Linked DNA regions of Oreochromis niloticus. The protein of the gene in region 2 purifies or fractionates together with the protein of the main gene of each other region. This does not show direct contact. Links are inferred from orthologs where the notes say so. Each region holds a gene or a part of one and is shown on either strand. Other genes may lie near its edges.

The links. Proteins that work in one complex are often made in the same cells at the same time.
Region 1: the proteins of stau1 (region 2) and ybx1 purify together in Homo sapiens (affinity purification with mass spectrometry; 3 studies listed by BioGRID and IntAct, with this or other methods). This does not show direct contact. The link is inferred for Oreochromis niloticus from reciprocal best matches to the Homo sapiens genes STAU1 and YBX1.

What each region holds. Positions count from the first base shown.
Region 1 is NC_031984.2:24,180,956-24,184,714, forward strand, and holds the start of ybx1 (Y-box-binding protein 1), read right to left. Parts: upstream 2,305-3,759; 5' UTR 2,137-2,304; coding exon 2,028-2,136; intron 222-2,027; coding exon 158-221; intron 1-157. UniProt on the Homo sapiens protein: DNA- and RNA-binding protein involved in various processes, such as translational repression, RNA stabilization, mRNA splicing, DNA repair and transcription regulation.
Region 2 is NC_031970.2:16,668,367-16,672,125, reverse strand, and holds the start of stau1 (double-stranded RNA-binding protein Staufen homolog 1), read right to left. Parts: upstream 2,650-3,759; 5' UTR 2,451-2,649; intron 1-2,450. Other genes in the region: protein polybromo-1, read right to left, coding at 3,055-3,218. UniProt on the Homo sapiens protein: Binds double-stranded RNA (regardless of the sequence) and tubulin.

The sequences.
Region 1 (3,759 bases), on a different chromosome or scaffold from region 2:
GATGCATGCAACCAGTTTGGAGACAAGTAGATAATTCATCTGGGCAGCTTTGTAAGCAAATCATAGCCATAATAGGATTGGGAATGTTCTTTCTCACACACACACACACACAGCTGTTATGAGGGTCTTTGGAAAGAAGGGATAGGCGAAGTCTTACCTGTTGATAAACCCATATCCATTCCTGACGTTGAACCATTTGACTGTACCCAAGACTTTTGTTGCTTTAAAAAAAATAAAAAATGAACATGTATTAATGATCATTTTAGATACATGTCTGTATTTAATAATTCTTCTAATAATGACAAAGTGTAAAATAAGAACAGACCATGAGAAAGTGACACGTTTGATGTGGAAGTTAAATATAACTCCCAACTGTCATTCCTATTATAGATCCCGGCGCTTAGGAGTGTCTTGTGCCAGCTGCATTTGGTGTGAGGTATGAACCGTCACGAACACCATGCACGAGTACCACGAATGAGTACCGACTAGATTACTTCTCGTGTGAATTTCAAGACTTCATTACCCCTATTTATAACGTCCCTTTCTACTGTGATGCCATCCAAATCAAAGATTTCAACATCATCATAGCAGGCCGCTGTAGCTAAACACATTGACTTAACTACAGCAGACCTAGTGCCCCATTTTAGACGCACTACTGAGCGTTCACACGTGGTAATCGCGCCCGGATATGTTAGCAAGCTCAGCTGGCTTGTTAGCATAGCTATGTAGCTGAGAAGGTCTGAACCATGTGCTTGGATTACTGCCAGCAAGCGGAAATGAACATAACACATCGGACAGCTTCTATTGTGACCAAATGCTTAGCACGTAAAAAAAAAAAAAAATTAGAAAAAATGCCACGGTTATACTGGTTTCAATTAACAACCAACGAAATGGCGAAAGAAATCAGTGGAATACACGGCGGACATTTTGGATGGCCTCTTTAGCCATGTAAATAGCTCAAGTTAGCTGGCTAAGCTAACATAGCTTCGCAAACAAGCCAGCAACCGTCGGTCGATTGCTAGGCCCTAACGAGACCTCATCAATTCCACCGAAAATAGTCGACCGCTGACAGTTGTGCTCTGGTGAATTTCCGATCAAATCCAAATATAATTCGCTGCTAATTGTAACAGTTAAAAGTCTGAACATAGTTTCGAGTGTTATAGATTTTTTTTTTTTAATATTTCACCAGGGAGCAAGACTCGTGCGAACAAAGGACGGCAAGTCGCTAACGCTAGCTTGATTTCGACATAATTTGTAACCGGTAAAGCCAGTGGATATTTCGGTGTTCCACAAATACGGCATTAAAGTTAACTTTATTACTTTAATACATGATTTCCCATTAACTGTCTGCCTAAAATCAGCACCGACGTTGGCGTATATACACAGGATCCGATAACGGCCAGAAACCACTTCAGCGACCATTTACGTGACGGCCACCCGGTACCACGGCATTCTATGGCGTACGTTTGACGCGAGGAGGCCGATGAACAGGAAAGATTGAAAGTCTAAAATACCTCATTAATACCTTTTTAATACTCATGTCGTCTAAAATTATTTAATATGAAGGCCAAAGTGTTAGCTATTAAAGCAGCGATGTATAAAAACTATATATATAAAAAAAAAAGCTTGCACTGTCTGGCTTCCAACCGATAGTTTAATTCTGTATCGCTAGCACGTAAACGTTTAGCGTTTTTCAGACATCAAAAGAAGATTAGTTTAACTTTTCCTAGAAAGCTTCTCGTTAGAAAACGCCAACACACTGAATAGAACATAGCCCATGAAATAATTCAATTTTAGCCAAAACTATACTGGGTCCCGTTGGCTAAAATAAAAATTTCCCTACCATTACTTAACATGTGCTAACGTTGTGCGGCTCAACGGCCGTTTCTAACGAATGTATTTTAGTTTAAGGTAGACTGAGCTGTGGATCGAGTTAACAACATTAGCAGCACCACTTTTGCGCATTGCCTCTGTGCCGTAAAACACGTTAGCTATCTAGTTAGCTTAACTAGCTCCAGCAGTCTTACCGATGACCTTCTTATCCCCCGCGGAAGCTGCGGCTGCCGGGCTGGATGGGCTCTCCGCATCGGCAGCAGGCTGCGGCGGTTGTTGCTGTGTCTCGGCCTCGCTGCTCATTGTTACTTGTTGGTAATGGCTTCAGCCGGCGGCGGCTCTTTGCTATATTTCCCGGTGCTAGATGGTAACCTGGGCCGGCGGTGGTGGGGGCTACTGCCTTCGGGCTCTCTGCTTTCCTCTTTCCGCTCCCGTTGCCGATCTAACTGGGCAGAATGAGATGAGGTGCCGTGGAATGTTCCTACTCGGAGGTCCGCCCAACTGCCATTCTAATTGGTTGGAAAGTGTAACAGGAAACACTCGCGTTCCAATTAGCCAGAGTAACTGTCAATTTCGCTTCAGAAACGCGTTGGGTAAAATGATTGGGTAAAGGAAACCGTACCTGTCCATTCTCACCACCCCTTTATGATGTCAGAGCCAGACGAATCAGACTGCATAACCGTGACAGTTTTGGAACAGTGTCTACTTACTAAAATCTTGTTCTGCTGACGGATTTGGACCTAATATGCATATAGTTTAAAATATAATTGTAGTTATCATTATGCAATATATAAAATTGCAAATAGTGTGATTATCGTGTAATCGCATGCTTCAAATTCGGAGCAAAGTCAGCAGTTTAAGAGATCTAGAAACACAAAAACACGGGCCCATTAAGAAAGACAATGCCTGAATGTTTAAAGTATTTTCAGTTTCATTTTGTACGCTGGTTAAATGAAAAATCGATATACTGTGTGTGTGTGTGTGTGTGTGTGTGTGTGTGTGTGTGCGCACCAATGATGGGAATAACGGCGTTATAAGTAACAGCGTTACTTTTTTCATTAACAAGTAATCTAACTAATTACTATTTCTATCTTTACAACGCCGTACCCGTTACTAACATGAAAATGCGGTGCGGTCGCGTTACTATTTTTCAACAAACAGACGGCTGAAGCTGTGTTCATCTTACCGCACCTTATATCAGTTGCATGGAAGTAGCTGTCTACATAAGTAGTCTGGGCGCTACAGCTTTAAGTAGCTGCGGGCGCTCCCGCGGACGGCAATCACTTTCTGGCAGACGATCACTTTTTGGCACAACACCTGGAGCTAAGGGGGGCCAAACAATCCCATGAGTGCTGCAGTTTGACTGAGAAAGAATATAGTAGTCGTAGTAAGACTTGGAAAGCTCTGCACAAGAATTCCAATGTACATGGACTGTTGGTCCTGTGTGCAAATGGCAAAATAAAAAATCTTGAATCCTGAATCACATGACCACTTCAAGATGACAAAGCAAAGAGGTGATATATACCAGTTTTTAAATTGTGCTGATAGGCCACGTAACACAAGAGTCATGACAAACAACATATACGTGGTGTTTTTTCCTGAATACTATGGTCACGTTTACCCTCTAAGGGCAGCGCTAGCAAGCACTATCTGCTTATGACCAAAAAAGAAAAAACAAAACAAAAAACACCCCTTTCGTGTTGTGGAAAAATGTACAATGTCGACCAATCAAAAAATGATATAGAAACATGGCATTTGGTTGTTTAGGAAGAGGGAGGAAGTTTTAGGAGTGACGGAGAGAAAGAGAGCGGAAAAATGAGAGAGCAAGTTTTAAGAAGTGAGAGATTTGTGACGTTTGGAGTGTGTAATTAGTGTGTTTTCTTGTGTAGTTAGTGTGTAGTGTAGTGGATAGTTTTGTGTTGTGTG
Region 2 (3,759 bases):
TGGTCTTAAACAGGACTATGTGAATTTACTATTTATTTTTCTGCATTTTGCAATTGCCAAAAACAAAATGTTCTTTCTAGCAAATTCAATCAGTCGGGAATGCAATGAAGAAATCCTGGCTTATGTACAAAACAATTTTCCTTTTTATTCAAGATGTAGAAGGATGTGTTTTCTATTGATTCAAACTAATGTTTCAATACAGTCCACAGATCTCAAATGTAATGGTAGTGCATTCCATAGTTTGAAGCTGCAACTTTGAAAGCACAGTCTCCATTAGTTTTCAGTCTGGCAATAGGTGTCGAGCAGAAAGACTTGAATTATCTGCATGTTATATAAGGACGAAAGAGTTCACAAATGTAAGCAGGCATTCGATAATGCAAATCTCTGAAAGTGATCACCAAGATCTTAAACTTAAGTAAGAACTTAATGGGAGGCAAGTCCACTAAGACAACAAAATGTGTGTCACAATATTTTGTAGATTAAAAAAAGCAGGATCGCACAATGCTTTTCCCCATAAAGACATCATTTGACAACTTTCCCTGTACCATTAATGACAAGTTTGGAATCTCTGTATATATCAATAAAGATGTGGTCTTGGGGCCTTAAGAATAGTTTCGGTAGCTGCCCAGGTAGAGACCACCCTCACCAACTTCTGCCACACACACACAGTCATTTTGTTCTATAAGCACGCTTGAAATATGACAGAAACTGCTCAGTTCAGAAGAGCTTCAATGGTTACTTCTAGCAGGCTTTCAATGGGTAAAGACTTACTGTGTTTTTCAAAACTAAGAAATTGGTCCAATATAACGCCTACATTTCTGACATTTGATTGAGCTGCCACTAGCACAAACAACAACTTCTGTTTTTCCAGTAATAACTAAAATTTAATCAGCAGCCATGCAGTGCTTTATGGCATCATTAACGTCATGAAGGATAGATATTTTTGGAACATTGTGAGGCGGAGAAAAAGAAATGTACAATCGGATATCATCTGCATAACAATATGAAACCCATTTAACGGTGGTTTAAGAGGTGTCCAAAAGGGTGTAAATACATTTCATTGTGAGTAGCAGACATTTGACTGACTGTTAAATACATTGACTGGTAGTTAAATACAAATTTTGTGTTCATTTGAGCACTACAGACAATTTGCCAATTTAAAGAAAAGCAGGACAGAAACAGTGATATCTGTCGGGTCCCAGCACAGTTCACCCAGTTTGCCTACATTGGGGAGATAACTTTATCAATCAGCCTATAAGAACAGTGTTGTGCCAAAAACTGATTTCCAGCCTTTGCCAAAAAGTGATTGGCTGTATTTAAACTGCTAAAAATAACTTGTTGGCCTATACTATGTGAAACATATGTCAAATGTATCCCTCATGAATGATATCAAGTTATCTTGAGCCACAAACAACATTCCTATCACAAGGTAGAATCAGTTTATGGCTATTATGTATCCATTTTTAACCAGTTAAAAAGTTTCATTAAAAGCCATTTTTGTTTTGTCAAAGAGTAATCTGGCCAAGAGGACACCAGAAACTGCAAGAAATATAAAAATAGTTACTAAAAGGTATTTTAAATGGCCAAAAAGGATTGGAAACATGGGAAACAAAAACGCATGGAATCACTGGCACAAAAAGTGATAATCTGCCAAGTGACCAAGGGAACACCGTAGTGCCTATTATAGTGCCTATAATAATACAGCACAGTAATGTTTTATTAACAGCATTTTCGCTGCCTTGATCTCACAGTAAAGATGCTGCTGATAAAAACTGAAATCACTTTGTTCTCATTCAAACCACAGCTGGGAGGGTCCGTGCTGTCAAAGGGGCCCTGGGAGCCTTCACTAACTGTGATAGAGCAGAACCACCATTTACATGCAACGACTGTAACCTGCATCTCATGCTAAGCATTATTAGATACAAAAATAATACTAATAACTAATTTGTTTAAGAAAAAATGTTTACCATTAGCTCGACTTACAACACGAAAAACTGAGGCTAGGTGGTTAGCTGATACAGCCGCTTGCAAACAACCACGATTACTGTCTGGTAGGCTTTCTGGACCTGTATATTCGTCAATGATTTGACTAGCTGTGAGCAGCACAAGCTACTGGCAGCTAATTCCTAATTAAAATCAGGCCGCCGGCTGGATGTACAAGCTCTACAGAAGAAACTTGCTCGCTAACTAGCTTATTCGCTACGAATGGCAGGGGTGGACATGATAGGACAATCTTTGCAAAAACAAGCCCCGTTACTGAACGGGTGCTGAGAACAGCAAGACAACGCCCACAGCTCACTGACAACAGCACTTGAAATTTGTTTATTAAATGAATACATCAGAAAAAAGGGGAGGAAACATCTTGTTTAATTCAAATCGAGGCTGGGAGCACCCGGTGTCACCGCTAGCTAGCTAACGCCGACAAAGTCTGAGCACAAAGTAAAGCTCACCTCGTCGCTCCTTCTGTGCGGTTTTTAGTTACTCCACATGACACGCTGATTTACGGCCGTTTGCTTTTGTTAATGGCCAGTTTGGAGAATCACAGTGCGTTATTTTGATATCGAAATGCGAGCGGTGAGGAGGTGGACATTGGGAAGACAGGGCAAACACTAAAGAGAATGGTACTATCTCGCTTCACTCTGCAGGAAGTGACATCGACTAGGAGGAAGTACTTCCACGATCTCAAATATTATCATTCAGGATCGAGAGGCTTGTGAAGCACAAAGGAGTAAAACACAAACATGTTATGAGGGTAATCACATTAAAAAAAAACCTCATCAACAACAAAAAGAGGACACAGTCTAATTGGGGTATTGACAAATTTATTTGCACCAATAAGCCAAATATCACAGGTTAAGCAGAACTATTCATCCAAATGGTATAAAAAAAATGAAATGCAGCACACAATTAACTGTTCAGCTCATTATGTTAGCTAATAAATATAAAATTGCTCATGATTCACTATAAAATATTGCTTCTAGGGTCTACAAGCTAAACTCCGTGACTTGAGGATAAGAGCAGTGACTGAGCAGAGTGGTTTGTAAGTCCAACAGGTTACAGGTTGTGAGCCTGACAGATGTTCAGAGAGTCTCTTAACATCAGGTCACGCAGACGCCACAGTGCATCCACCATGGTGGTGTGGGCTCCTTTGCTCTTCAGCCAGTGAGCTGGCAGCCGACTCTCTTGTTCTTTGGTCAGGTGAGAATCTCGCCTTTGTGCTGTTAATGGAAACACACATTTCTCCTTAAGTGTAATTATTCAAAAGGCAAATAATGTTCACTATTGCCTTTGAAAGCAAACAGAAACAAAGATATGCACAGACTCAAACTGGTAAACATGCTGGGAAATGACAATTTGGGCTTAATGCAAAAATTAAGGCAACACAGTCAACATTTTAGAAATATATTCCTATCATGTAAGGCCAGCATCACATTTGGGGAAAAAAGTGGAGAGAAAAAAGCTGTGAAAATTGTCTAATGCTCTAAAAAGCTCCTGCTTGAATGCCTCAGAGCTAATTAGGCTGATTGGAAGGAGGTCAGCAACATGACTGGCACTAAAATAAGCTCCCCAGAGAGGTCAAATCTTTGAAAGGTGGAACAATTCATAATATCGTCAATGTAAAATGTAAAAAAAAAAAAAAAAAAAGGATTTGTGGATTTCATCATCTACAGTGCATCAGAAGCTATCATTTAGCTATTTCCCCTATATGTAAACATGAAAGGGTTGATACTGGTAGCTTGTAATCATTTACAATTACTG